Callithrix jacchus: one gene and its partners. Each later gene encodes a partner of the first gene's protein in a complex. Links are inferred from orthologs where the notes say so. Each region holds a gene or a part of one and is shown in the gene's direction. Other genes may lie near its edges. The genes, in order: METTL3, RBM15B, RBM15, ZC3H13, CBLL1 and VIRMA.

What was found.
Region 2: METTL3 (region 1) and RBM15B share a complex: the UniProt entries of both Homo sapiens proteins name them as parts of the WMM complex. The link is inferred for Callithrix jacchus from reciprocal best matches to the Homo sapiens genes METTL3 and RBM15B.
Region 3: METTL3 (region 1) and RBM15 share a complex: the UniProt entries of both Homo sapiens proteins name them as parts of the WMM complex. The link is inferred for Callithrix jacchus from reciprocal best matches to the Homo sapiens genes METTL3 and RBM15.
Region 4: METTL3 (region 1) and ZC3H13 share a complex: the UniProt entries of both Homo sapiens proteins name them as parts of the WMM complex. The link is inferred for Callithrix jacchus from reciprocal best matches to the Homo sapiens genes METTL3 and ZC3H13.
Region 5: METTL3 (region 1) and CBLL1 share a complex: the UniProt entries of both Homo sapiens proteins name them as parts of the WMM complex. The link is inferred for Callithrix jacchus from reciprocal best matches to the Homo sapiens genes METTL3 and CBLL1.
Region 6: METTL3 (region 1) and VIRMA share a complex: the UniProt entries of both Homo sapiens proteins name them as parts of the WMM complex. The link is inferred for Callithrix jacchus from reciprocal best matches to the Homo sapiens genes METTL3 and VIRMA.

Annotation. Positions count from the first base shown.
Region 1 is NC_133509.1:56,010,261-56,015,322, reverse strand, and holds the start of METTL3 (N(6)-adenosine-methyltransferase catalytic subunit METTL3), read left to right. Parts: upstream 1-1,913; 5' UTR 1,914-2,022; coding exon 2,023-2,122; intron 2,123-5,062. UniProt on the Homo sapiens protein: The METTL3-METTL14 heterodimer forms a N6-methyltransferase complex that methylates adenosine residues at the N(6) position of some RNAs and regulates various processes such as the circadian clock, differentiation of embryonic and hematopoietic stem cells, cortical neurogenesis, response to DNA damage, differentiation of T-cells and primary miRNA processing.
Region 2 is NC_133516.1:33,966,853-33,972,074, forward strand, and holds RBM15B (putative RNA-binding protein 15B), read left to right. Parts: upstream 1-1,888; 5' UTR 1,889-1,991; coding exon 1,992-4,661; 3' UTR 4,662-4,986; downstream 4,987-5,222. UniProt on the Homo sapiens protein: RNA-binding protein that acts as a key regulator of N6-methyladenosine (m6A) methylation of RNAs, thereby regulating different processes, such as alternative splicing of mRNAs and X chromosome inactivation mediated by Xist RNA.
Region 3 is NC_133508.1:148,190,137-148,195,305, forward strand, and holds the start of RBM15 (RNA-binding protein 15), read left to right. Parts: upstream 1-1,638; 5' UTR 1,639-2,731; coding exon 2,732-5,169. UniProt on the Homo sapiens protein: RNA-binding protein that acts as a key regulator of N6-methyladenosine (m6A) methylation of RNAs, thereby regulating different processes, such as hematopoietic cell homeostasis, alternative splicing of mRNAs and X chromosome inactivation mediated by Xist RNA.
Region 4 is NC_133506.1:165,173,779-165,178,337, reverse strand, and holds part of ZC3H13 (zinc finger CCCH domain-containing protein 13), read left to right. Parts: intron 1-3,117; coding exon 3,118-3,221; intron 3,222-3,608; coding exon 3,609-4,559. UniProt on the Homo sapiens protein: Associated component of the WMM complex, a complex that mediates N6-methyladenosine (m6A) methylation of RNAs, a modification that plays a role in the efficiency of mRNA splicing and RNA processing.
Region 5 is NC_133512.1:78,201,537-78,206,579, forward strand, and holds the start of CBLL1 (E3 ubiquitin-protein ligase Hakai), read left to right. Parts: upstream 1-1,510; 5' UTR 1,511-1,686; coding exon 1,687-1,735; intron 1,736-2,387; exon of another isoform or gene 2,388-2,749; coding exon of another isoform or gene 2,750-2,762; intron 2,763-5,043. UniProt on the Homo sapiens protein: E3 ubiquitin-protein ligase that mediates ubiquitination of several tyrosine-phosphorylated Src substrates, including CDH1, CTTN and DOK1. Targets CDH1 for endocytosis and degradation.
Region 6 is NC_133517.1:32,689,111-32,693,669, forward strand, and holds part of VIRMA (protein virilizer homolog), read left to right. Parts: intron 1-937; coding exon 938-1,031; intron 1,032-1,310; coding exon 1,311-1,855; intron 1,856-2,381; coding exon 2,382-2,617; intron 2,618-3,094; coding exon 3,095-3,347; intron 3,348-4,559. UniProt on the Homo sapiens protein: Associated component of the WMM complex, a complex that mediates N6-methyladenosine (m6A) methylation of RNAs, a modification that plays a role in the efficiency of mRNA splicing and RNA processing.

The DNA of each region.
Region 1 (5,062 bases):
AGTCGGGTGGATCATGAAGTCAGGAGTTCCAGACCAGCCTGGCCGAGATATTGAAAACCTGTCTCTACTAAAAATACAAAAATTAGCCAGGCATGGTGGCACGCACCTGTAGTCCCAGTTACTCGGGAGGCTGAGGCCGAAGGGTGGGAGGTTGCAGTGACCTGAGATCAGGCCACTGCACTCCAGCCTGGGCGACAGAGTGAGACTCCGTCTCAAAATAAAAATAAACGGCCACGCACAGTAGCTCACACCTGTAATCCCAGCACTTTGGGGGGTTGAGGCAGGTGGATCATGAAGTCGGGAGTCTGAGACCAGCCTGGCCAATATGGTGAATAAAATCCCATCTCTACTAAAAACACAAAATTAACTGGGTATAGTGGTGGGAGACTGTAATACCTGCCACCGGGCAGGGGGAGGCAGAATAGCTTGCACTTGGGAGGCGGAGGTTGCAGTCAGCTGAAATCACACCACTGCACGCCCGCCTGGGCTACACGAATGAAACTCTGTGTCAAAAAAGAAAAAAAAAAAAAAGGATTGTAGGAAAAAAAAAACAACCCTTGTATTTAAGTTTACTACACATAAAGTGCACATACCAAAATGTTCAGCTCAATTACATTTCACAAACTGAACACACTCATGCAAGTAGCTCTCGTAACAAAAAACACAACGCAACCAGGACCTCAAAGCCCTCTTAGTGTCGGAACTCTATTTTATTTGTTTATTTATTTTGAGACGGAGTTTCGCTGTTGTTACCCAGGCTGGAGTGCAATGGCACGATCTCGGCTCACCGCAACCTCCGCCTTCTGGGTTCAAGCAATTCTCCTGCCTCATCCTCCCGAGTAGCTGGGACTACAGGCGCACAACACCGTGCCCAACTAATTTTTGTATTTTTAGTAGAGACAGGGTTTCACCTTGTTGACCAGGATGGTCTCGATCTCTTGACCTCGTGATCCACCCGCCTCGGCCTCCCAAAGTGCTGGGATTATAGGCGTGAGCCACCGCGCCCGGCCCGGAACTCTATTTTAATCGATTATACGTACTTTGTAAATTCAGCCTAAGAGAGAGATCACGTATTTGAACTCTCGTATTTTTCCTTCAGCCCTCCTCACTTCCCCACGCCTCTCCCGCACACAAAGAAAAATGCGCACACCCTCTACGGCCTCCCACCTCAGATTGGGGACCACCGTTGTTTTTTTGTAAATGAAGCAATAGACACAAACCACGTCTTCAGTGGAAAAGGTATGTTAGCATCCAACTGTCAAAAGGAACAAGTGATCCTTCATCTTAAACTTCTGTACGTCAGAGCGCTTATAGCTCACGCCCGTAATCCCAGCACTTTGGGAGGCCGAGGCGGGCGGATCACCTAAGGTCGGAGTTCGAGACCAGCCTGACCAACACGGAGAAACCCCGGCTCTACTAAAAATACAAAAAAATTAGCCGGGCGTGGTGGTATATGCCTGTAATCCCAACTACTCGGGAGGCTGAGACAGAAGAATCGCTTGAATCCGGGAGGCGGAGGTTGCGGAGAGCCGAGATCGCGCCATTGCACTTCAGTCTGGGCAACAAGAGCAAAACTCCGTCTCAAAAAAAAAAAAAAAAAAAAAAAAAAAAAAAAAAAATCCGTACTACATGGTGATGCTCTCTACGAGTGCTATTTTAACATGGGTCAACTCTCAGAAGTCCTCTCCGAATATTCAACATGGCCGCATGCGCATCTGTAAGCAATATGGCCGCTCTGCCAGTCACCAACATGGCAACCACAGCCTCACTGTGCCCGGAAGCATGAGAGAGCGGGTATAAGGACTATACCGGCCGCTCTGCCAACACCTAACGTGGCTCTCTTTATAGCTTCCAAGAAAGCGCGACACCGGAAATTACTTTTCGGTCTTGCTCATCTCTAGGGGTCATTTTCCGGTTAGCCTTTGGGTGCCCGCGTGAGAATTGGTTATATCCTGGAGCGAGTGCTGGGAGGTGCTAGTCCGGCGCGCCTTATTCGAGAGGCGTCAGGGCTGGGAGACTAGGATGTCGGACACGTGGAGCTCTATCCAGGCCCACAAGAAGCAGCTGGACTCTCTGCGGGAAAGGCTGCAGCGGAGGCGGAAGCAGGACTCGGGGCACTTGGGTGAGGCACGGGGCTGTTGGGGTCGAAGCTCAACCGGGGAGTATGGGAGGGATCCCTAGAGAAAAAGCTCCAGAGTCAATGTCCTTTACCAAGCGGCTATTTCTATAAAGCCGCGTACATGGGGTTACTCCCTCTACCATTCAGCAGCACAGACCCTCGCCCTTCTGCAAGTAGTTCGCGGTTCCTCCTCACCCTGGGCCTCGGTTCTTCCAGCTCACTTTTACCGGACCGACGCTTGAGCCCCACCCTCGTCCGCCTTGCCCACTCCCTCTTCAGACTGCGAGGACGTTGCCTCTTTGAGGCCTCCCAGCCCCCTATCTTGCGAAACAGCAAGACCCCTTTTTTGTTGCCGCTATGGCGCTTTGTTCCCTCAATTAATAACGACTGCTTTGTAGTGGTCATTTCTTTGCAGCTGTGGGCACAGTGAGCAAAGAATGAACCTTCATATCCACAGTGACCAGTTTAGTGGCCTGTACAAAGTGGCACTCCGTGTTTCTGAATGAGTACCCCTACCGACATTGACTTAGCCATTTACATACCTAGCAAAAATCTGAAAACATTTGTGTTTGGTTTCTAAACTTTTTCTCCCCTCCTTTTGCCCCATGTCACGATCATAAAACTTTGAAGGAAATTTAAAAGCTGGTTAAGTTAACTCTTATCCACTCCCTACCCCCACGACAAACTCTGAATTATTTAAGGCAAACTAGTAACAAAGCTCTGCAAAAATAGTGACTCAATATCACCTTTGTGGCAGATTGTTCCAGTATCTTGAACTCCATCTCTCAATCTTGTCTCAATTATGTTAGGTTCATGTGCTCATATTCTGACCCCTAGAACTAGAAAGTGCGCTGCCGGGATCCTCCCATAATTAAGTATCCTTTCTTGAGTACCTACAGTATACATGGGTCTAATTAGACAAAAATAAGTAAGAAATTGCCCCTGTCCTTTAGTTTAAAAGGCATAGGTTTCAAGGGTAGATGCTTTAAAAAGTCAGGAATATGATAGGATATATGTTATATGTGTGTCTATGTATATATATATATATATATATATGTATGAAATTGAATGAATCTACAGTCTTCACAGTGAAAGAGAAGTAACTGAGCTCTGGTGTAGGTAGTGAAACCATCAAAGCCATCATAGTGGAGCTGGCATTTGAATTTGGCCTTTATGGATATGTCGGACATAGATAATTTTTTTTTTTGAGACGGAGTTTCGCTCTTGTTACCCAGGCTGGAGTGCAATGACCCGATCTCGGCTCACCGCAACCTCCGCCTCCTGGGTTCAGGCAATTCTCCTGCCTCAGCCTCCCGAGTAGCCGGGATTACAGGCACGCGCCACCATGCCCAGCTAATTTTTTGTGTTTTTAGTAGAGACGGGGTTTCACCGTGTTGACCAGGATGGTCTCGATCTGTTGACCTCGTGATCCACCCGCCTCAGCCTCCCCAAGTGCTGGGATTACAGGCTTGAGCCACCGTGCCCGGCTGACCTAGATAATTACAGAGGTAAGAGGGAAGGGTAGTAGAGTAGACAGTGCAAGTCATATCATCAGCCAATAATTAGTAGTCAAGCTTTGGCGTAGTTCTTGAATTACCCTAAGAGGGGTAATTTTTTCTTCTTGCTTTATAAACTTCACTGATTTGTTCTATTTTGTTTTTGCCATGGAGTTTTGCTTTTGTTGCCCAGGCTGGAGTTCAGTGGCATGATTTCAGCTCACTGCAGTCTGTCTCCCGGGTTCTAGCAATTTTCCTGCCTTAGCCTCCTGAGTAGCTAGCATACTACTACCACGACACCTGGCTAATTTTATATTTTTAGTAGAGATGGGGTTACTCCATGTTGGTCAGGCTGGACTTGAACTCTTGACTTCAGGTGATCCGCCCAAAGTGCTGGGATTACAGGCGTGAGCCACTGTGCCTGGCCTGATTTCTTTATAGATACAATTTTTTGTTTTGTTTTGTTTTTTCCCTATTCTTTGGTTTCCCGTTTCTAAACTTTTTAAAAATGTGCATAAATTATGCCAGTGACTTTTTTTGTTTTTGAGACAAGGTTTCTCACGGTTGCCCAGGCTGGAGTGTGATGGTAGGAGCCCCTCACTGCAGCCTTTGACTTCTGGGCTCAAGCAGTCTTCCTGCCTCATCCTAAGTAGCTAGGACTATAGGTGCATGCCACCATGCCTGGCTAATTTTTAAATTTTTAATAGAGATGAGGTCTCACTATGTTGCCCAAGCTTGTCTTGAACTCCTGGGCTCAAGCTGTCCTCTTGCCTCAGCGTCCCAAAGTGTTTGAGTTACAAGTGAGAGCCACCATATCCAGCCTATTTAATTTTCCTATGGAATCTTTCCCCTTTGGCAATGGCAATTGGAAAAGGAGATCTGAGGATTCAGTAGTTGTTTGTTTCAGCAAAAGTTATCTGCAAAATTAACTTAGTTATGTATTTAGTTAGAGACGGGGTCTCCCTCTGTCACCCAGGCTGGAGTGCTGTGGCATGATCATGGCCTACTGCAGCCTGGACTTCCCGGGCTCCAGTGATCCTCCCACCTCAGCCTCCCAAGGGGCTGGGACCACAGGTATGTGCTACCATGCCCAGCTAATTTTTGTATTTTTGGTAGAGAGGGTATTTCACCATGTTGCCCAGGCTGGTCTCTTAACTCCTGAGCTCAAGCAATCCACTTGCCTCAGCTTCCCAAAGTCCTGGGATTACAGGCGTGAGCCATCATGCCTGGCCTATAAAATTAACTTTTGAAAAGCCACTATATCAGTGTACTATATCATTGACTACTTTGTGTTCATCTTTCTGTCATTTTGGTGACAGGCTATCCTCTATCCGTGGTGGTATTTGTTGCTTTTTGGTTTTAATTGTTCTTCATTGTACTTTATACTTTTCCATTTCTAAATTCATACTCTTTCAATGGGTGATTCTAATTGCTGTTGGTCATTTTA
Region 2 (5,222 bases), on another chromosome or scaffold:
CCTACCAGTTTATGCTTTCCAGTTGCAGGGTTTTGGGGGATATTCATTCCCATTTGTCCCTCAACCCACCAGTGCTGAAAATACCAGGTGCAAGACATGGGGGCCGAGGCCAGCTGATGTGCATGGGTGTCTGCCACTAGAGGGCAGCAAGCACCTCAGCAGAAAGGAGCCTGAGGCAGGGCTGGGCTTGATAACCTGCCCCTTGATAGAGTGCCTACCTTAACGGAGGAGAGCTGGAGGCCACACACTCTAGGAGGAGTGAGTCTGGGATACACTCCTCCTAGAGGGCCTTACATTGGGGCTCAGTACAAGCAAGACAGGGTTTGTGAAGTGGGGTTTCTTGCAAGGATGGCTTCGATCACTGCATGTCAGTGCTGACATCTCTAAAGATGCTGTTGGCCTGGCCACCTACTTGCTCTTTCAGGCTCATGGTCTAGTGTCCATCCCAAACTTCTGATGTCTGTTCCAGTTTTTACAAGACTGGTAAAAAAGAGGGGGTGGGAAGCTGCTTTTTGCCTTTGTTTACCCTAAATTAATTGTTGAGGTCCAGGTCTTTTCTGGAGTCTGCTTCTGAAGCCGCTCTCTGTGGCATTGGTGCTTAGGAACCCCAGGTGTTGGTGTGAGCCTTGGCTCAGTGAAGATGCCTGTAGACACCACCTGAAAGGAAGGACTAAGACCCAATGCTTTCCAAGGAACTGCTCTTGCTTCAGAGCGCTTCACTGTGTCTCCTAAGCTCAGCTTGCCTGTAGGAGGCCTTACAGGCTGCCATGGAGCTTGTTGCTTTCTTCCAAGACCTTTCCCCCTGCACCTGCCTGAGCTGCTTTCTCACTGTGGGAAGAGGGGAAGACTTAGTGTGCTCTTCCCCATCGCGAGGATTCTGTGCCAGAAATTGGATCAGGTTCTACCATGGCTCTAGCAACTGTCATGAATGAAAGCTCCCTCAGTGGGCTCGGGCACCCTTTCCTTCACCTCACATGGAGAGAAGAGGTCCTCCTGAAGGTGAACAGGAGGGTACTGGCCAGTGAGGGGTCAGTGTGGCAAGCTGTGTTAACTGTCATTACTATCTATGCATTTGACCTCTTCATCCTTGGCTCTTGTGGTTCTACTTTTCCAGCCTGCTCTCTGCCCAGATGCCAAAGAAGAGGGTGGGACCAAAGAGTGGCGTTAAAGAGTCTATTCCAACTCCATCAACTTCAACTGCAGGCTTGTCACTGCTTTTGGTTATTACCTACATGCACAGCCATGGTCCTCATGGCCTTTTTGGGGACTGCAGCAGGTGAACTTACATGTGGAAGATGCCCAGAATGTGGGCCTTGGGTCCTAGACAGGGCCTAGAGATGGGCATGCATTTGTCCTTGGGGCAGTTACCCCAGATCCCAGGCAGAAGATGCCAAGGAGGGTGATACGGGAGTTTGCTAAAGCCTAGTCCTGGGGCTGAGGGGTACTACATACACACCACTGACTGGGTCAATGCCCCAGACCCCGACAGCCCACGGAAGCCGCCACTCCTTCCTGTTCCAGTCAGCGCGGGCTCCAGCTCCTGCGGGAGGAGATAGCTGAACCCAGAGCGGCAAAGCACGCCTGGGAGCACAAAGCGTTAGGTCGTCCTGCGTACCTCTCAGGGTTCCCTTCACTTCGCGTAGCCTCAAGCATCGCCCATGTGGGCCGCGCGGTGGCGCTAGAGCGCGAGGCCCAGGCCCACTCACCCGGCGCTCACGGGGGTCACGTGGCACTGGGCGATGCAGCACGATGACGCAGCCCGACGCGTGTCTCGCTCCGCCCGCCACAGAGTCACGTGGCACGGTCGGCGCAGCTTGATAACGCAATGCCAGGCCCCTCGGCGCCGCTCCCGCCCCGCCCCGCCGCCGCCGCCGCGCCGAGTCCTTTTGTCCAAGATGGCGGCGCCGGGGGCGCTGCCTCCTCGGCCGCCGCCGCCGCCGCCGCCGCCGCTGTGAGAAACCTACGGGCCGCCCGCCCGCCGCGCCAGCGCCATGAAGCGGCAGAGCGAGCGAGACTCTAGCCCGAGCGGGCGCGGCTCGTCATCGTCGGCCAAGCGTCCGCGGGAACGCGAACGGGAGGCGGAGGCGGGCGGGCGGCGGGCGGCGCACAAGGCCTCTGGCGGCGCCAAGCACCCGGTTCCAGCGCGGGCCCGCGACAAACCCCGCGGCAGCGGAAGCGGCGGGGGCGGGCATCGCGACAGCCGCGGCGCCGGGGACGCTAATCACCGTGCGAGCAGTGGCCGCTCCTCGAGCTCCGGCGCTGGCGGCGGGGGACGCGGCGGCAAGGCCTCGGGGGATCCGGGCGCCTCCGGCTTGTCGCCCCGCACGTCTCCGCTGCCGCCGCCGCCGCCGCCGCCTGGGGCCGAGCCCACGGGTCCCGGCTCTTCCGCGGCTGCGCCTGAGTACAAGACGCTCCTCATCAGCAGCCTGAGCCCAGCGCTGCCCGCCGAGCACCTCGAGGACCGGCTCTTCCACCAGTTCAAGCGCTTTGGCGAGATCAGCCTCCGCCTGTCGCACACGCCTGAGCTGGGCCGTGTGGCCTACGTGAACTTTCGGCATCCACAGGACGCGCGCGAGGCCCGCCAGCACGCCCTGGCCCGCCAGCTGCTGCTCTACGATCGCCCGCTTAAGGTAGAGCCCGTGTACCTGCGCGGCGGCGGCGGGAGCAGCCGGCGAAGCAGCAGCAGCAGCGCCGCCGCTTCCACGCCTCCCCCAGGACCGCCCGCTCCCGCCGACCCGCTCGGCTACCTGCCGCTGCACGGAGGCTACCAGTACAAGCAGCGCTCGCTGTCCCCCGTCGCTGCCCCGCCCCTGCGAGAGCCCCGCGCCCGCCACGCCGCCGCAGCCTTCGCCCTGGATGCTGCCGCCGCCGCCGTGGGACTGTCCCGCGAGCGGGCCCTGGACTACTACGGGCTGTATGACGATCGTGGGCGCCCCTATGGCTACCCGGCTGTGTGCGAGGAGGACCTGATGCCCGAGGACGACCAGCGGGCCACGAGAAACCTCTTCATCGGGAACCTGGACCACAGCGTATCTGAGGTGGAGCTGCGACGCGCCTTTGAGAAATACGGCATCATCGAGGAGGTGGTTATCAAGAGGCCTGCCCGTGGCCAGGGTGGTGCCTATGCCTTTCTCAAGTTCCAGAACCTGGACATGGCCCATAGGGCTAAGGTGGCCATGTCAGGCCGAGTGATTGGTCGCAACCCCATTAAGATAGGTTATGGCAAGGCCAACCCTACCACTCGTCTCTGGGTGGGCGGCCTGGGACCTAACACCTCACTGGCGGCTCTGGCCCGGGAGTTTGACCGCTTTGGGAGCATTCGGACCATTGATCATGTCAAAGGAGATAGCTTTGCCTATATCCAGTACGAGAGCTTGGACGCAGCCCAGGCCGCCTGTGCTAAAATGAGGGGCTTTCCCTTGGGTGGACCAGACCGCAGGCTCCGCGTGGATTTTGCCAAAGCAGAGGAGACACGGTACCCCCAGCAGTACCAGCCCTCACCGCTCCCTGTGCATTATGAGCTGCTAACAGATGGATATACCCGGCACCGCAACTTGGACGCCGACCTGGTGCGGGACAGGACGCCCCCACACCTCTTGTACTCAGACCGAGACCGGACCTTTTTGGAAGGGGACTGGACCAGCCCCAGTAAAAGCTCCGACCGCCGAAATAGCCTTGAGGGCTACAGTCGCTCAGTGCGCAGCCGGAGTGGTGAGCGTTGGGGGGGAGATGGGGACCGTGGTTTACCCAAGCCCTGGGAAGAGAGGCGGAAACGGAGGAGCCTTTCCAGTGACCGTGGGAGGACAACTCACTCCCCGTATGAGGAACGGAGCAGGACCAAGGGCAGTGGGCAGCAGTCAGAGCGGGGCTCGGACCGCACCCCTGAGCGCAGCCGCAAGGAGAACCACTCCAGTGAAGGGACCAAGGAGTCCAGCAGCAACTCCCTCAGCAACAGCAGACATGGGGCCGAGGAACGGGGCCACCATCACCACCACCACGAGGCTGCAGACTCTTCCCATGGGAAGAAGGCAAGAGACAGCGAGCGCAATCACCGGACCACGGAGGCTGAGCCCAAGCCTCTTGAAGAGCCAAAACATGAGACCAAAAAGCTGAAGAATCTTTCAGATTACGCTCAGACATTACAGCTGGGTTGGAATGGGCTTTTGGTGTTGAAAAACAGCTGCTTCCCCACATCTATGCACATCCTAGAGGGGGATCAGGGAGTGATCAGCAGTCTCCTCAAAGACCACACTTCTGGGAGCAAGCTGACCCAGCTGAAGATCGCCCAGCGCCTTCGACTGGACCAGCCCAAGCTCGACGAGGTCACACGACGCATCAAGCAGGGGAGCCCCAACGGCTATGCAGTCCTTTTAGCCACCCAGGCAACCCCCAGTGGGCTTGGCACTGAGGGGATGCCCACAGTGGAGCCAGGTCTGCAGAGGCGACTTCTCAGGAACCTGGTCTCCTACTTGAAACAGAAGCAGGCTGCAGGGGTGATCAGCCTGCCAGTGGGGGGGTCCAAGGGCAGAGATGGCACAGGCATGCTCTATGCCTTTCCGCCCTGCGAGTTTTCCCAGCAGTACCTCCAGTCAGCACTAAGAACATTGGGCAAGCTAGAAGAAGAACACATGGTGATAGTCATTGTCAGAGACACTGCCTAGCCCAAGCCTGTTTTTTCCAGCGTCATGTTTGTGTCACAAAAGCAGTTATTTTAAAATCTGAACCCCTCTCTACCCTACCAGTTTGGTTTGAATTCTCTCCTGGGTTATTTTGGTTCATTTGGGTGGGGATCAAAGTCCTTTCCGCCACCAAAACTAAGTTCTTAGGTTTGGGGGATTTTTTTTTTTTTAAACAATGAGAAGGGACTCCGGTTGTTGATTTCTAGTGTACAAGATACTGTCTGCTGTGGTTCTGTATTTTTTTATTTTTTGACCAACTGTATGGAAAGTTGTCAGTAAAGCCTTTGTCAGAGGATGGATTTTTAAACCTGTTCAGAGTCCTGGTTTAATCAAGCTACGAATCAAAGACTTCCCTAGTGCATGTACACAAATGCCCTATGTCGTCTTTCCAGCACCACTGCTGCAGGGGTCGCTCTTGGCCCCTCACTTCTGCAGGCTTGAGTCTGGACTCTACTCGCGTTCATTTTTATCTTGGCCGACAGCAGGCAAGCTTCAGTTTGGGCTCTGGACCCTGCCACAAAAGCCTGAGTAGAGCCCTTGCAA
Region 3 (5,169 bases), on another chromosome or scaffold:
AGGAAATGTATCAGTAAGTCTGGGAGAAAACAATAGAGAAAGGAAGAGTGGGAAGTGTGATGCAGATGAAACAAGACTGACATGATTTGACAACTGTTGAAATAGGGTGTTGGGTATATGGAATTCTTTATAGTATTCTTTATTTTAAACTTTTTCCATAAAAATAATTTAAGGAAAATTAAAAATAATTATTTTTTAAACTGAAGGAGTAATAGCGTGCTTTTTGTATAAAACAAAAGATTTCTACAAAGAAAAGTGAAGTCTCCTTCCTATTCCAGACCGTCACACCCAGCCTCAGGGCGATCCTAGTAACACTTTCCCATATATTTGTCACGGAAGTTTCCAAGCAATGATATTTTTAAAATGTACATACTCACAAATGTAATTTTTAAAACCACAAATGATAGCATGTTATACACATTATTTTATGGCTTGTGGTTTTATTTTCTATTTTAATACAATGAATATGTTTATACATTACAATATCGTAGACTTTCTTGCTTTACCATTGAGCTTCTTCCTTCAAATTTCTTTGATCTAATAAAGGGATAAAAGGCCTGCCCCTTCACATTCCTCAGGATTACTTACCAAAAGGATGGCTCGGCCGCTAAATTTAGGTTACAGTTCCTTTTTTTTTTTTTTTTTTTTTTTGAGACGGAGTTTCGCTCTTGTTACCCAGGCTGGAGTGTGCAATGGCGCGATCTCGGCTCACCGCAACCTCCGCCTCCTGGGTTCAGGCAATTCTCCTGCCTCAAGCCTCCTGAGTAGCTGGGATTACAGGCACGCGCCACCATGCCCAGCTAATTTTTTGTATTTTTAGTAGAGACGGGGTTTCACCACGTTGACCAGGATGGTCTCGGTATCTTGACCTCGTGATCCACCCGCCTCGGCCTCCCAAAGTGCTGGGATTACAGGCTTGAGCCACCGCGCCCGGCCCACAGTTCCTAATCTTAACACCGTTTTCAAGTTTAGGTTTCGGCTTTTGGGACATTATTGTTACCTTGAAAAATGTCATGTTTAAAAACACCTCACACCCTCTACCATAGATTAGATCTTGGGAAATAGGTTGAGGACGCGATCAATGTAAGAATCCTCATAACCTCCGCCCTGGCGGATACCTGGGAGGGCTGCAGACAGTCTAACGGCTGCGGTGACCTCAGCGCTGCGCCCCTCCAGCAGCCGGCGAGCGCTGGGGCGGAGGCCGTACCCCACTAAGCTCGGCATCTCCTGCACCTCCCACAGGTGCTCTGTCCGCCACAGTAATGCTCTACGGAAAAGAGAGTTGTAAAGCGGACGGTTGGAGGAGCCAAACGAGGTGGATCTGGAGCGGCCGCAAGGTGCCTGCGCTGCTGGCTTCTAATACAATAAGCGGAGTGTGGGGGATACCAGAAGTTACAGCGGGGAAACCAAGTTACATTATCTGCATGGAACCTAAATTTCGCTTGATGACTTTCCAGGGAGAAGCATTAGATGTTAAAAACAAACATAGGTATTTTACGGGACAACAGAATTAAAAAATCCACACAGATTCGCAAAATAAAACAGGCCGCCCAGAGACACGTCCACGCTGTCCCGACAGTTCCGGCTCCGCCTGCGGGCCAAGAGGCGGGGAGCGACGGTCACTCCCCTCTGCTACCCAGAGTACTTGGGAGGGGACGGGGAGCGCCCCGGAAAGCAGGGCCCCCAAGCGAGGAGTGCTTCTTCGCCGCGCAGCTTGAAGTTCTTGAAGTTCCTTGTGGCAGCACCGCCCCGGGGCAGCGGCGTGACCTGGGGCTGCAGGAACCTTGAACTCCTAGCTCAGCGGGCCCGGGTGACCGCGGGCGGGACTCTCCCGCGCGCGGGGGCGGGGCTCCCCCCGGCTTTTCACGCAGCGGCCACAGCGACCTAAGATGGTGTCCTCTAGGCGTCCCAAGACGGCTTCCTGAGGGACTGGAGGGCCCCGACAGCCGGAGAGCCTGCCACGCTCCTGGGCCGGCGCAGGTAGGATGGCGGGGAGCCTGAACGTTTCGAACTCCAACGGCCGAAGCACAGCTAAGTACCTCACGGAACTGAACAAATGTTTGTGGGAGGACGCCGAAAAGGCGGGGAGGCGGGGCTGGCTCACAGCCACCCTCTCGCGACATCTAAGTGACGTCGCACAGTAAGCACGTGTTCTAGTCTTTCACCTTCAGTCAGCCTCCTCCTTTATACGGGCCTACCCCTTTAAGCAAGTGATGGACAGTTATTTCAGCTTATCAACTTCCTTGCGGACATCCAATCAGATTTAAACTTCTTTTAGCCGCCGGAGGAGTTGGGAAAAGGGGGTCGAAAGAGGGAGCTCACCCTCTCTCGCGATATCGCTGTGAGGCTGCCTCTGGAAAAAACGCTGAAGCGGATGGCCCGACCTCCTAAATAGTGGTTTAAAGGACGGGTTTATAAGCCAATGAAAGGGATGAGGAGGTGGGGTTGCTGCTTTCACCGAGTAAGAAGTACCGTTACAGGGCAGACTTTTCGTCCAATGAAGACCTCCAGACTTTGGGTCACATGACCGTAGAGCGCTAGGGGCGGAGCTACAGCCTGGCGCGAGGAACCGTTAAGATAGACAACAAATATAACCAATGAGATGCTCTGACTAGGGCTTTGGAAACCCAATAACAGTGGTTGGGCGGGCGCCTTCCTGGAGCGCGGGGAGATGTAAAGATAGACAAATAATTTTTCCAATGAGACTGTAGAAGAGAGAGCCAATTGGCCAATGAGGACTGCGGGGCGGGATTCTGGGCCGCGGCGGAGTCCAAGATGGCGGCGTGCGGTTCCGCTGTGTGAAACGAGCGCGGGGTGGCGGGTTAATCACCTCAGCGGAGACGACCTCCGACGACCCGCAACAATGAAGGGGAAAGAGCGCTCGCCAGTCAAGGCCAAACGCTCCCGTGGTGGTGAGGACTCGACTTCCCGCGGGGAGCGGAGCAAGAAGTTAGGTGGCTCTGGTGGCAGCAACGGGAGCAGCAGCGGAAAGACAGATAGCGGCGGCGGGTCGCGGCGGAGTCTGCACCTAGACAAGTCCAGCAGCCGAGGTGGCAGCCGCGAGTATGACACCGGTGGGGGCAGCTCCAGTAGCCGCTTGCATAGTTATAGCTCCCCGAGCACCAAAAATTCCTCAGGCGGGGGCGAGTCGCGCAGCAGCTCCCGGGGTGGAGGCGGGGAGTCACGTTCCTCTGGGGCCGCCTCCTCAGCTCCCGGCAGTGGGGACGGCGGGGAATACAAGACTCTGAAGATAAGCGAGTTGGGGTCCCAGCTGAGTGACGAAGCGGTGGAGGACGGCCTGTTTCATGAGTTCAAACGCTTCGGTGATGTAAGTGTCAAAATCAGTCATCTGTCGGGTTCTGGCAGCGGGGATGAGCGGGTAGCCTTTGTGAACTTCCGGCGGCCGGAGGACGCGCGGGCGGCCAAGCATGCCAGAGGCCGCCTGGTGCTGTATGACCGGCCTCTGAAGATAGAAGCTGTGTATGTGAGCCGGCGCCGCAGCCGCTCCCCTTTAGACAAAGATACTTACCCTCCATCAGCCAGCGTGGTCGGGGCCTCTGTAGGTGGTCACCGGCACCCTCCTGGAGGGGGTGGAGGCCAGAGATCCCTTTCCCCTGGTGGCGCAGCTTTGGGATACAGAGACTACCGGCTGCAGCAGTTGGCTCTTGGCCGCTTGCCCCCTCCACCTCCGCCACCATTGCCTCGAGAGCTGGAGAGAGAGAGAGACTACCCCTTCTACGAGAGAGTGCGCCCAGCATACAGTCTTGAGCCAAGGGTGGGAGCTGGAGCAGGTGCTGCTCCTTTCAGAGAAGTGGATGAGATTTCACCCGAGGATGATCAGCGAGCCAACCGGACGCTTTTCTTGGGCAACCTAGACATCACTGTCACCGAGAGTGATTTAAGAAGGGCGTTTGATCGCTTTGGAGTCATCACGGAAGTAGATATCAAGAGGCCTTCTCGCGGCCAGACTAGTACTTATGGCTTTCTCAAATTTGAGAACCTAGATATGTCTCACCGGGCCAAATTAGCAATGTCTGGCAAAATTATAATTCGGAATCCTATCAAAATTGGTTATGGTAAAGCTACACCCACCACCCGCCTCTGGGTGGGAGGCCTGGGACCTTGGGTTCCTCTTGCTGCCCTGGCACGAGAGTTTGATCGATTTGGCACCATACGCACCATAGATTACCGAAAAGGTGATAGTTGGGCATATATCCAGTATGAAAGCCTGGATGCAGCACATGCTGCTTGGACCCATATGCGGGGCTTCCCACTTGGTGGCCCAGATCGACGCCTTAGAGTAGACTTTGCCGACACTGAGCATCGTTACCAGCAGCAATATCTGCAGCCTCTGCCCTTGACTCATTATGAGCTGGTGACAGATGCCTTTGGACATCGGGCACCTGACCCTTTGAGGGGTGCTCGGGATAGGACACCACCCTTACTGTACAGAGATCGTGATAGGGACCTTTATCCTGACTCTGATTGGGTGCCACCCCCACCCCCAGTCAGGGAACGCAGCACTCGGACTGCAGTTACTTCTGTGCCTGCTTATGAGCCACTGGATAGCCTGGATCGCAGGCGAGATGGTTGGTCCTTGGACCGGGACAGAGGTGATCGAGATCTGCCTAGCAGCAGAGACCAGCCTAGGAAGCGAAGGCTGCCTGAGGAGAGTGGAGGACGACATCTGGATAGGTCTCCTGAAAGTGACCGCCCACGAAAGCGTCACTGCGCTCCTTCTCCTGATCGCAGTCCAGAATTGAGCAGTAGTCGGGATCGTTACAACAGCGACAATGATCGATCTTCCCGTCTTCTTCTCTTGGAAAGGCCTTCTCCAGTCAGAGACAGACGAGGTAGTTTGGAGAAAAGCCAGGGTGACAAGCGAGACCGTAAAAACTCTGCATCAGCTGAACGAGATAGGAAGCACCGGACAGCTGCTCCCACTGAGAGAAAAAGCCCTTTGAAAAAAGAAGACCGCTCTGATGGGAGTGCACCTAGCACCAGCACTGCTTCCTCCAAGCTGAAGTCCCCGTCCCAGAAGCAGGATGGGGGGACAGCCCCTGCGGCAGCAGCCTCTCCCAAGCTCTGTTTGGCCTGGCAGGGCATGCTTCTACTGAAGAACAGCAATTTTCCTTCCAACATGCATCTGTTGCAGGGTGACCTCCAAGT
Region 4 (4,559 bases), on another chromosome or scaffold:
AGGTTTTCAGATAAAGGACGCACAACCAGTAAGTACGATGCAAATATCCAAAACCCAAAACTCAGGGCATTTCAGATAAGGGGTACTCAACCTGTATTTTTTTCATGCTTCTGATCTCTGCTTATAATAGCAAAAGGTTTTCTGATTTTCCATGGTTAGACAATCTTAAGAGTTGGCAATGACCCCACAAATTTAGGAGTTGAATAACTCTGTAACAGAAACTAGTTATGTGAGATTAATATTTTAATCTTTCATTAACTGTATTGTCATCTCAGTAGTTCAGTTTCTCCAGCACTTTTTTTTAACTGCTGTTATGTAGGTTTACTGAATAGCCATCTTTATTGTACTCTAATTGTGTTTATTTTATTTCCTTGAAAGAAGTTTTATTTTTTTTATGTTTTAAATTTTCCCTTTATTCTAGTGTATCAGTTATCTCTTGCTGTATAACATACCACCACATAAATTAGTAACTTAAAACAACCATTTATTTGCTTATGGTTCTGTGGATTAGTGATTTTGCCTGGGCTCAACGGAGTGGTTTTTCTGCTGGTCTCAATTGGAGTATCTCGTGTATCAACATTCCATCTGACAGTGCAGCTGGGCCTGGAGGCCCAGGATTGTCTCACCTGTGTGTCTGCCAGTTAGGGCATCTTGTTTCTGCTCCGCTTGACCTCCTGGCCTTCAGTGGTCTAAACTTGGCTTTGCATGTAATGGTAGAAACATAACAAGAGGACAGAAGCTGAAGCGGCAAGGCCTCCTGAACCCTCTTCACATTTGCACAGTGGCACTTTCACCACATTTTCTTGTCGTAGCAAGTCATTAGGCCACTTCGATAGGAAAAATGGGGAAATAGTCCGGCTATTGATGGGAGAGGGGCTTTGGATAAAGCAGTACACAAGCTTGGGCCTGTGAGTTGTCATATTATACCTGGGGCTGTCTCCACATGGTTACTCATCTATATAAAGGAGCTGTCTAGGATATACATGTACTGTAGTATGTTTTTACTTTCTTTTTATTTCAATAGCTTTTGGGGTACGAGAAGTTTTCGGTTACCTGGGTGAATTCTGAGATTTTCGTGTACATTATACCCAACTTGTGGTTTCTTATCCCTCACTCAGCTCCCACCCTGCCACTTCCGAGTCTCCAGAGCCCGTTGTATCTTTCTGTACGCCTTTGTACCCAACATGTGGTTTCTTATCCCTCACTCAGCTCCCACCCTGCCACTTCCGAGTCTCCAGAGCCCGTTGTATCTCTCTGTACGCCTTTGCTTACTCGTAGCTTAGCTCTCACAAGTGAGGACAAGTTGCTGCAAAAGACATTCTTTTGTTCCTTTTGTTGGCTGAGTAGTATTCTATGGTTCCATGGTGTATATATACTACATTTTCTTTATCCACTCTTTGGCCAGTGGGCACTTAGGTTGGTTCTATGTCTTTGCAGTGTGAATTTTGCATATAACAACTTCTTTATAAAGTCATAATGACTCTTTTTCGTATAATGACTTCTTTTCCTTTGGGTAGATAACCAGTAGTGGGACTGCTGGATCCAACCTCTCCTTTTAGTTCTTTAAGGCCTCTCCATACTGCTTTTCATAGAGGTTGTACTAATTTATATTCCCCCCAGCAGTGTATAAGCATTCCCTTTCACCATGTCTACGCTAGCATCTACTGTGTTTTGACTTTGTATGGCCATTTTTGTAGGAGTAAGGTGACATCTCATTATGGTTTTAATTTGAATTTCCCTGATGACTAGTAGTTTTGAGCATTTTTTCATATGTTTGTTGGCTGTTTGTTTGTCTTCTTTTGAGAAAGGTCTACTCACGTCCTTTGTCCACTTTTTTATGGGATTATTTATGTTTTTCCTGCTGATTTGTTTGAGTTTCTTATAGATTCTGAATACTAGTCCTTCGTTGGATGTATAGTTTCCAAGTATTTTCTCCCTTTCTATGGGTTGTCTTTATTTATTTTGCTGTGCGGAAGTTTTTTAGTTTAATTAGGTTCCATTTATTTATTTTTGGTTTTGTTGCATTTGCTTTTAGAGTCTTGGTCATGAAGTCTTTGCCTAGACTAGTGTCCAAAAGAATTTCCCAGTGTTAACTTCTAGAATTTTAATGGTTTCGGGTCTTAGATATAAGTCTTTGATCCATCTTGAGTTGATTTTTGTTTGAGGTGAGAGACAGGGATCCATTTTCATTATTTTACATGTGACTTGCCAGCTTTCTCACCACCATTTAGTAAATAGGGTGTCCTTCTCCCAGTTATGTTTTGTATGCTTTGTTGAAGATCATTTGGCTTTATTTCTGTTTCATTGGTCTGTGTATACAATATGTTTTTTAACTTTTGACCATAGTATTTGTAAATAAACAATGTTAATTTAAAAAACAGGTGGTCAGATTTTAATGAAAAACAGCTCATTTAAAGCTCAACTAAGGAACAACAAATATAATCAGCATGAATTATTTTATGAATTTGTTAATAAGTAAGTGATTTCTAAGAAGGGGAAAGGAACTGATTTTACGGTGTATCCACAACCTATCTGGCACTGGGTTTATGACATAACTAATTTGTTCCTCACTGCAGTTTTATGAGATGGACCCCATTTCTCACCCATTTTCAGATGAGAAACTGAGGTTCAGCGACTTCAAGGAACTTACTTAAGGCTGCGTGATAACTAATGTAGTTAGAAGTTGAACTCACGTCTTTTTACCTTACAGCCAATGTTAGATTTCCTCATTCAGCCCTGCAGCATAAGGCATTTTTATAGCCTAAGAATGCAAAATTGCGAATGTTTACATTACAGGGTACATTGATATATTGATTTCTGTGCTACATGTTACCCCCTTGCAGTATTTAAATCTGGCAGTTTTCACTTGAGTGGTTCTACATATATAATGAAGAAAGAAGAAATGTTGTTGTTGTGTATTTTAAGTTCACAATTCTTAGCAAATGAAGTAAATAACTTTTATTAAAGACATTGAGAAGCCTTTGTATGCTACACCTCTGACAATATTGCTTTTCTACAGTTATGTATTCCAGTTATAGTAAAGAGATACTAGTAAAAATAGAGAAATCTGTTTTTGGCCTCTAGAGTTTTATAAATTGTGTTTGCTTGCCCATTCAGGAAGCGCTATAGAAATGAAGGGAGTCCCAGCCCTAGACAGTCCCCAAAACGCCGCCGTGAACACTCTCCGGACAGCGATGCCTACAACAGCGGAGATGATAAAAGTAAGCAGATCCTGTTTCCTGTTTTTCTCTATTCACGTTCATTTGGGACCAGGAAACCACCCTTTCAAACTCCTAGGAACTGATGAATTGAGACTTTTAAAAGGTTGTCTGGCTTTGCTGCCTCTAAATGTCTCCTTTTGTGACTAAAGTATGTGTTAGAGTACTGTAATTTTATTTATAGTAAAGCCATATTTTTATTTTTACCAAAATTATTGTCATTCTAAAAGTTTTAAAATGATCTCAATCTCTTGATCTCATGATCCACCCACCTCGGCCTCCCAAAGTGCTGGGATGACAGGCGTGAGGAGAGACTGCCTTATTATTTATATGTGCCATGCGGTGTTTATTAACCTGGCGAGAGTGTGATCGCTTTTATCTTTTATATAGATGACAAACATAGACTCTTGAGTCAAGTTGTACGGCCTCAAGAATCTCGTTCTCTTAGTCCCTCGCACCTCACAGAAGACAGACAGGGTAGATGGAAAGAGGAGGATCGTAAACCAGAAAGGAAAGAGAGTTCAAGGCGCTATGAAGAACAGGAAGTCAAGGAAAAAGTTTCTTCCATAGATAAACAGAGAGAACAGGCAGAAATCCTGGAAAACTCAAGAATGCGTGCACAGGACATTATAGGACATCACCAGTCTGAAGATCGAGAGACATCTGATCGAGCTCATGATGAAAACAAGAAGAAAGCAAAAATTCAAAAGAAACCGATTAAGAAAAAGAAAGAGGATGATATTGGAATAGAGAGGGGTAACATAGAGACAACATCTGAAGAGGGTCACGTATTTTCACCCAAAAAAGGACAGAAAAAGAAAAGCATTGAAAAAAAACGTAAAAAATCCAAAGGTGATTCTGATATTTCTGATGAAGAAGCAGCCCAGCAAAGTAAAAAGAAAAGAGGCCCACGGACTCCCCCTATAACAACTAAAGAGGAATTGGTTGAAATTTGCAACGGTAAGAATGGTATTCTAGAGGACCCTCAGAAAAAAGAAGATACAGCATTCAGTGACTGGTCTGATGAGGATGTGCCTGACCGTACAGAGGTGACAGAAGAGCATGCTGCCACCGCAGCTACTCCTGGTAGTACCCCTTCTCCTCTGTCTTCTCTTCTTCCTCCTCCACCACCTGTGGCTACCGCCACTACTGCAACTGCGCCTGCAACTCTTGCCACGACTGCTGCTGCCGCCACCTCCTTCAGTACCTCTGCCATCACCATTTCCACCTCTGCCATCCCCCCCAATACCACCAATAATACTTTTGCCAATGAAGACTCACACAGAAAATGCCACAGAACACGAGTGGAAAAAGTAGAGGCACCTCACGTGACTATAGAAG
Region 5 (5,043 bases), on another chromosome or scaffold:
TGTTGAGCTATGATATAAAATGTATGTCTAACAGTGAGAAACATTTATTTAACAGCAACAATTTACAAACCAAATAGACCAGGTGTGTTTGTCCTTACTTGGTACTGAGGAGTCTGTAATAGGGTATTGGGGAAAACAAGTTCTCTGATAGCCCTCTTAGCTTTCTCATAACATATACAGTAACTATGTAAATGGAAGTCTATCAAAACATCTTGGAGCCCACTACCTTATAATTCATAGGTAGTAGCTAAAAAGGTGCACCTCAGTGCTTCAGACTATTCGTTACAGTAAGTTTTCACTTTTGTAAACCTTAGGTCAGTACCGAGCTATATAAATAAATATTAATGATGACTCTTCATAAAGAAGTTGTGAATAGTTACAGCACACCGGTCGCTGAAACTACTAATAAAATGTAAGTAAAGAGATTAATTTATCACACTGCTACTGCATTGGTAATTAAAGGCAACCACAATTAAGGGGGAAATGAATACAGACCACAGATGCTAAAGCCATGCATGAAAGTAAGAGATGTCAAATCAAATCCAACAAATGTTTAACATTTTATCAGATCTAAAATAAGTAAATCTTCTTTCAGTAAATTTTCATAACGACGCATCATAAAATACCCACAAAACTTGACTTAAAAATTATATAAAATACATTTTGAAAGCTTTTTAATTCAAATTATTTAAATATTAGCATCGGCAAACACAGTATTATTGTGAACATGGATTTGCATGAATCAGAAGTTTAGCTGAAAAAGTATGACAGAACAAAAAAAAAAATCAAAGCCAGTGGTGGTGATGAGCATCTGTAGTCCCAGCTACCGGAGGCTGAGGCATAAGGATCCCTTGAGTCCAGGAGTTCAAGGATGCAGTGAACTATGATTGTGCTATTGTACTCGTTTCTGCCGCCTCATCTCTAAAAAAAATTTTCTTAATATATGCAAAAAAGGTACTTTCTAGAGGAAAACTTTTTAAAATACTCCAAATTGGTGAAAAATGCCTGACTATATCAACTCTGTATTTAGAAATTAGGGAGGTATAGGGAAAAGGTTAGGCAAACTCCAATGCCCAAAAAAATAATTTCAGAAACTGAAAGCATCTTGAAAACCACTTAGCAATATAGAACTTTACATTTTAACAAAAGCAGGGATAATTTTGATTCACAAAGGTCCTTCGTTGTGAATGTACCTAAAAACTTGTTTATAAAGCTGCCTATATGCAGTGGAAAAGTCTTTTACAAGATCTCAGGAAAATAACCACTAAATGCATGGTGCACTTATATCGCACTGATCATAACAGTATGACTCACAGCTAATACCGTGCAAATACAAAGATATAACACATTGGTACTCATACTTTATTTGCAATTCAGTACCATGAAAACATTTCTCTAAGAGGTCAATATAATATTTTATTAATCTAGGAACTCTGGCACTGAAAGCGTGAATAACCCAAGGTGATGATGTCGTCACCAAGGGACGACAAGAATAGAACCCAAATCCCTTGACTCCCCAAGCTTGTGTTTTCCATTAATTGTGCTCCTTTCTATTCATCCACGAGCATCAAGCGTGAAAGGCTGGAGAAAGGACTAAATACAAAAAAGCCAAGTCCGCGAGGTGGAGACTGCACTGAAGGTCCTAGGAATCGCCCCTTGGCACTTTCCTTGTTTTGGCTGAGGAAGATGAAAGCAGCAGCAACCACAAACCCCTGGGACCAAGAACTGGAACTAGGTACTGCCTATTGTGGTATCTCTCTTCCTCATTTTAGGCCTTTCCTTTTTAACCTCTCCTTCTGGCCAAGCCTTGGCGCTCTCTTCCCTTCCCTCGGCTTCCATCCGCTCCCCTTAGCTCCACTCTGCACATTCCTGCTAGGTGTCCCCTTAAGAGGAGGCAGCTGCGCCGCCCAGGTTCTCCATCCTCCATCCGGCACAGGCGCCCACTCCTCGGGTGTTCGAGGGGTTAGTAGCGTCACAAGCGCTCTCCCTAGAAAGTGAGTGGCAGTCAAGCATTATGAATGTATTTCAACTGTAAAGAGACAAGTTGGGAACAGGGGCATATACCAAGACGGCTCTGCGTGAGTCTAGGTAGCTCGTCACAACAAAGCAAAACTTAAGACAATAAATGTTGCGACTTTCCTTCTAGCTGCGAGCTTCACAGCTCAGCCATCCCCTGAGCAATCTCCCACTGGAGGACGCCTTCCGGAGCGCCTGTGTTTACACTTTTCCTACACTCAGTGGAGGCAACAAGCGCTCCCGGACCACGGGGGATTCCAAACCGTTACTCCGCCCGCCGGGGTGGGGCCAGCACAACGGCCGAGCCTGCGCAGCCGGCAGCCGGCTTCGCGGCCCCCGCGCACTACAAGTCCCAAAAGGCAGCTCTCCGCGGGGGCGGGCAGCCGCCTTAGCTGCCGCGGGCTCATTTCTACCACTGCTCTCCCTCGCCCTGGTCCTCGCTGGTGCCCTTTTCACAGTTAAAGGCTACTTTTCCTTGAAGCACATGAGGAGAAGCCTTAGCGACCTCGCCACCGAACTTCGCGCGCTCGCTTTTTCTGCCTCCGCACCAACTATGCCTGAGTCCCTCACAGGAGTTGGGTAGTGGAGGCGAGAGAAGGAAGTCTTTGTAGACCAAAGCTGGGACAATCCGCTCGGACTTCCGCCTCCCGGCCTCCGGAAGGCAGTGCGCAGGCGCGGGCTGCGACTCCGGCGCGGTTGACTTCCGTTCCCACTGTGCTGTGCGAGCCGAATCATGGATCACACTGGTAAGGAGGCGGAGGCAGTGGGGGTCCCGGTTCCATGCCCCCTTGGCCGGCCTGGGACTGGTCGCCCAACAGGCAAAAGGGATTACGCTCGCCCCACAACACTTGAGTGTGGCAGTGAGAAGAAATCTCACAGTTGCCTTCCCGTGCCCGGGAGGGGCCTGCTGCTTCCTGGCCTACCCTCTGGTGCGGTACCTACCTCCTTGGTGCCGGCAACAGCCGCTCCTCTGTTTCTGCTGAGCTCCGAGCCCGGACCGGTGGGCGGCGTAGGCCTTTGGGAAGGGAGAGCGCCGGCTCTGTTTTATTCAGCCCAGCTGCTCTGCCCTGCATTATGGGGACTCGCGGGTAGACTGCGGTCTCGGAGTCGCGGAATCCGCTGGGAGTGGACGGGCTAGAGTGGGTTGGAGACTTCCTGCTGTCTCAGTCAGCTTTGGGCGGGTGCTGCAGTTGTAACCTCCTGTCGTCTCTCCTGTCCTTCATGGACTAGAGAGGTGAAAGAAAGGAGTGGGATATAGTTTTTGGAATCAAACTTGGTGGAGCTTTTCTGCCTAAACCAAAAGCATGCCCCGCGCTTCGGCTGTGGTCCTTACTCATCATTTGAGGGTATTTACAAAGAGGAGCTTAAAATAAAGACATTTTCATCCTTTTCTCCAAGTAAGAGTAGCTCCACCCTTTGTTATGTGTTTTCTGGCTTTTGCTTCTTTCTGGTTCTTGGATGGTGAATGTATGCTATTGGAATTAACAAGTGCCCCATAGAGTTATAGCGACCATATCACAAATAGAGAAAAAGTATTTTTCGTAAGTATTGAGTTGTCCTCACTCATCATATATCTATTATATAATTAGGTGTGTATGTTTGTTTATGCCAGATACATACAGATATGTATAGGTCGGGAGATGGAGGATGGAATGGTAAACAAGACGGACCAAGTCCCTGATAGACCTTCTATTTTATGGAAGAACACAGACAATAAGTTCTTTTTTATTGTTTGTTTGCAGATCATAAGTGTTTTGAAGAAAATAAACGGGTGTTTTGGAGAGATTCATAGGAAGAAATTTCAGAGGGTTGTTAGGAAAGGTCTTTGTGGCAGGGTAACATATAAGCTAAGATCCGATGGATGAGAAAATCCAGTCCTGGGAAAAAAGCAGGAGGAAGAGCATTTCCAGCAAGTGCATAGGTGCTGAGTAGGAAGATGTAGCGAAGTTAGCTGCAGCCTAGTAATAGCCAGAGAGTTGAGTCCTGAAGTGAGATTGGAAAGGAGGGCAGCCGTCACATTCAGGTCATTGAAAACCATGGTAAACGGTTGAATTTTATTTTAAGTGAATATGAAGGCATTGAACAGAAGTAGAGGAAGAACACAGTCTCTTTAAACAATGTAGTAGGCTGTTCTGTGGAGAATGGTGTAAGAGAGGGAGGTAAGAATGTTGGAAGATAGGTGATTGCAGTAGACCGGAAGGGAAGGTTGGTTTGGTGGAAATGAAGGAGAACGGGCAGCTTCAGTAAATACTTGGGTAGTGTTTGGAGGAATGTGAGAGAAAGGAGAAATGCCTACGTTTTTGGTTTGAGCAGCTAGGTAGTGTCCCCATTATTGAGTTGAGGATAACTCGGGGGAGAAAACAGTCCTTTTTTTGTAGAAGTGAGACAGGAAAATTTGGGAATAAGTGTTTAGTCTTGGACTATTTAGTGTGAGACAGCTGTTGAAACACAGGAGAGGAGATGTCAAGTGGAGATGAAGGGTTAAGAACTGCACTGAAAATACGTATTTGGAAGTTAGTACCTTTATTTATAGCTGGTGTTTTAAAGCATGAGGACAGATGAACCATGTAAGAAGGGTGTGCTGAGAAGGGAACCCAGCCTAGAACCAGGCTGTAAAGAATTCCGGTGTTTGGGAATTTTTATAGAGTTGAAACTCTGGAATTTTCATGTTAGAATAGCAAATATTCAACTTTAGGAAAATCTTATTTGAGCCCATGACTGGTATTGTGAGTCAAGTTCCTGCCATGGTTGAGAGGCTATTATGTTAGGAAGTCACAATGGGGTGGGTGTAAAGAGTGCTATCTTAATTCTTGAAGTTAAAAGATTGCCTAAGGAAGTAAAACTCATCCTAACATGAAAATATTCACCAATGAGCTAACCACTTAAAAAATTAATTCCCACTCAAATGTCCCTTCTGCTTAATACTAGCTTCTTACATGTTTTTTTTAATGACTCAGTCTCTTTCATGTTTAGTATCCGAAGATAGTATCAAATACTGTGCATTGATTGTGAAATAAAATTATAAAC
Region 6 (4,559 bases), on another chromosome or scaffold:
CCCCAAGTTTTTAAACCATGCTATTCTGTGAAAGCTAAGAAAACTGAAGCAAAACTGTTTGTTACCTAGAAAGATAGCATAGGCAAGTGCTAAGGACATAGGCAATTTTATTTGTTTTTCCTCTAACCTGTGCCCCACCTGGCTACAATAAACTAGACTCCCTTGGTATCTGTATTTAAAAAAATTTAAGTCATGTAGGCCAAAAACATTCCCTGTTGCTTCCTCAGTTTTGAAGGAAGTTTAATACTCACAGGGCTTTTTACTTTTTTCCAAACAGGGTTTCACTATGTCGCCCAGGCTGGAGTACAATGACATGATCATAGTTTACTCTAAATATGATCACTCCCAAGCTGAAGTGATCCTTCCACTTCAGCCTCCTGAGTGGCTGGAACTATAGGCATGCACCATGATGCCTGGCTGAGTTTTAAATATTTTGTAGAGGTAGGGTCTCACTATGTTGCCCAGGCTGGTCTCAAACTCCTGGGCTCAAGTGATCCTCCCACCTCAACCTCCCAGAGTGCTGACATAACAGTTCTGAGCCACTGCACCCAGCCCCCACAGGATTTTAAGAATATAGTAATTGCTTCGTTTTTGGCAGAGAAGATGTATGAAAAGAGTGGATAGAAAATAACCATTTTAAACTCTTAACATTTCTTTATCTTTGTTCTAGTTGGTTCTTTTCAATGAGGTTGTACATTTCAATTCTTTTTATTTACATAATATTGCATATAGTACAACATATGCCAGAGATAAATAATCTTGATAAATTCATTTAGCTCTAGGGCCTTAATCATGTTTTAAATTTACTTAATAAATATAAAATATTATATGTTCTTAACTTGGAGCTCATATTTTTAACTAATTCCTTGTCTGGAATTTTTTGTTGATCTGATGGGTACTAAGAAATGAAACATTTTGTTCATTTTTATTTTTAAAGAATATTGATAACTTGATGACCCCAGAAGGAGTTGGCCTTACCACTGCCTTACGTGTTCTCTGTAATATTGCATGCCCACCACCTCCTGTTGAAGGTAATGTGACTACTATATTTTTAAAAAAATACTATTCTTAAGGCTAGAATAAATATCATTTATTAAATATTTAGTTTAATAATTATTAAATGTTATTTATAATATTTAAGTGTAATTAAATATAAACATTTGTCATAAATATTTATAAAAATTTATTATAAATATAAAAACCATAAATAATTAAATATCATTTATTAAATATTCAGTTTAATAATTAATAATTCTTAATCTTAACATATAAATAATTAGTTTTGTTTCTTTTCCTTATCCTATATAAAGGTCAACAGAAAGACCTGAAATGGAATCTTGCCGTAATTCAGCTTTTTTCTGCTGAAGGAATGGACACATTTATTCGAGTTCTGCAAAAATTGAACAGTATTCTGACTCAGCCTTGGAGGCTCCATGTCAACATGGGGACTACCCTTCACAGAGTTACTACTATTTCAATGGCTCGCTGCACCCTCACACTTCTTAAAACTATGTTAACGGAACTCCTGAGAGGTGGATCCTTTGAGTTTAAGGACATGCGTGTTCCTTCAGCGCTTGTTACTTTACATATGCTCCTGTGCTCTATCCCCCTCTCAGGTCGTTTGGATAGTGATGAACAGAAAATTCAGAATGATATCATTGATATTTTACTGACTTTTACACAAGGAGTTAATGAAAAACTCACAATCTCAGAAGAGACTCTGGCCAATAATACTTGGTCTTTAATGTTAAAAGAAGTTCTTTCTTCAATCTTGAAGGTTCCTGAAGGATTTTTTTCTGGACTCATACTCCTTTCAGAGCTGCTGCCTCTTCCATTGCCCATGCAAACAACTCAGGTATCACTTCAATATAACATGCATCTTATAAATGACTGCGTAACACTTTTTTTAAAAGCCAGTGATTGTGTTAAAAAACAAAAACCCTCATCTCCCTTCCTCCCAAAAAGACATAAAATAACTGGATGAGGGGGAGATAAAACTGAAGCAAGTTGGTCGTTGAGGAAATACGGGGGTAACATTTTAAGTGAATTTTTGTTAAAGTGAGTTTTATTATGCTGTTATGTATGTTTGTACTTACATATTTCTGTTATTTTAAATCCTTTCCCCCCCTTATGTGTTAGAATTTGCCAATAACTGGGTTGCTTCACCAATGGACTCTACTCAACTAACTGCTCACCTGAGAACAATAAGATTTTTTAGACTCATTGAATTCAAGCAAATGTTTAACTGTATAATAGAAAATTGAATGTTTTAAGCATGCAGTAAAAATGTTCTTTTCATAACAGTTCTTCCTGAACAGTTTTTGTGACTATAAATAAATATTTAAAAAATCTACGTACACAACATTATACTTTTTTAACAGGTTATTGAGCCACATGATATATCAGTGGCACTCAACACCCGAAAATTGTGGAGCATGCACCTTCATGTTCAAGCAAAGTTGCTCCAAGAAATAGTTCGCTCTTTCTCTGGCACAACCTGCCAGCCCATTCAACATATGTTACGGCGTATTTGTGTTCAATTGTGTGACCTTGCCTCACCAACTGCACTTCTGATTATGAGAACTGTGTTGGATTTGATTGTAGAAGACTTGCAAAGGTATTTTCATTTTGCATTAAAAATTTTTTCCTCAAGTTATTTTTGACACATATATTTTTTCCCTTATAATTTGGAAACTAGGGTTTGGAATGCCCAGCTAACATATATACATGTAAATATACACATATACCTACATATACACACATATTTATATATGAATACTTATAGACTTTTTAAATTAGAAAGCTTTATTTCATCATTTCATGTGCAAGCTATCTTGACAATCTTGTTTTTTGGGTTTTTAAATGGTGAATTCTAAAGAAGTACTCTGATTTAAGAAAATATATTTTTGGAAACCTGAATTTATAAAATTTTTGCAGTAATTGTAAAATTCCAGAGAAGTTGTCATTATATCCAAGGAATTAAATGTTTTATGCAAAATTTGTGTAAGTTGATGTGTATTGAGAAATAAATAGTAGTTAAACAATGCCTTAAGATCAAAAACATTGTTTACTAAATGTATTGATTTTATTTCAGCACTTCAGAAGATAAAGAAAAACAGTATACTAGCCAAACCACCAGGTTGCTTGCTCTTCTTGATGCTCTGGCTTCACACAAAGCTTGTAAATTAGCTATTTTGCATCTAATTAATGGAACTATTAAAGGTGATGAAAGATATGCAGAGATATTCCAGGATCTTTTAGCTTTGGTGCGGTCTCCTGGAGACAGTGTTATTCGCCAACAGTGTGTTGAATATATCACATCCATTTTGCAGTCTCTCTGTGATCAGGTATTTATACTTATTTTATAGTATCTCTCTCTCTCTCTCTCTCTCTCTCTCTCTGTCTGTCTCTCTGTGTGTGTGCATTTAAGTATCTTTTTTTTTTTGTATTTAAGTATCTTAATGTAAGTCTTGGCTTTCATCTGTATTTTATTATTCCTGCTATTCATGGGTTTCTCTGAAGAGCTTTATTTTTTTCCTTCAAAACCTTGGGTAATTGTTTTATGTGCCACTGTTTCTGTATTTTTTAGGGTCTAATTAATTTTCCTTGTAATTACATTATATTCCAAGTCATTCTTTTCTTTTTTTTTGAGATGGAGTCTCGTTCTGTCACCCAGGCTGGAGTGCAATGGTGGGATCTCAGCCCACTGCAACCGCCATCCGCTGGGTTCAAGTGATTCTCCTGCCTCAGCTTCCCAAGTAGCTGAGATTACAGGCACACAACACCATGCCTGGTAAATTTTTGTATTTTTTAGTTGAGATGATGTTTCACCATGTCGGTCAGGCTGGTCTCGAACTCCTGACCTCAGGTGATCACCTGCCTTGGCCTCCCAAAGTGCTGAGATTATAGGTGTGAGCCACCACGACTGGTCACAACAAGTCATTCTTAAATTTTGTAGCTTTGTGATTGGTTGAATTAATATGTTCGCTGTTAGGGAAACTTTTGAAGACTACTACACTTTTAGTGTGTTTCAGACTACTTTGCTTGTAGATGTTGGCTAACAGTAGTAGTATTTTTTCCTGTTGTCTATGTTATTGACTTCCAGTTTATGGTTTCATGGGTTGATGAGAGTTGTTTTAACTTTTAAAGCCCATTATGATTGAGATGTTTGGAGATTTCTGTGCCTAATTAGGCTTGTCATTTTAGCTTGTCAGCATGCTCTTGCAGAGTGGTCATCAAATGAGATTTTTTTTCAGACAGAATAAGTCCCATGTTGGAAGACTTTTTTGTATCTTAACAAATACTCAGTTTGGTTACATTTAAGACTCAGGTCAAGAAAGAACATTTTTCTGGTATGACTTATTTTCACAAAAAAGGGAACTTGGTAGAAAGGATATTTTAAGTCCTTGTACCTCAAAGTGTCCATTTGATTGGTATTTCTTATATAATTCACTTTGGGTTGCATGACTACATTGAATAGCACTATAACATCCTAGCTGCCTTGTTCATGTAAATCTCACTGATGGCCTCACTTTGCTATGTTGTCCTTCTGATTTGAG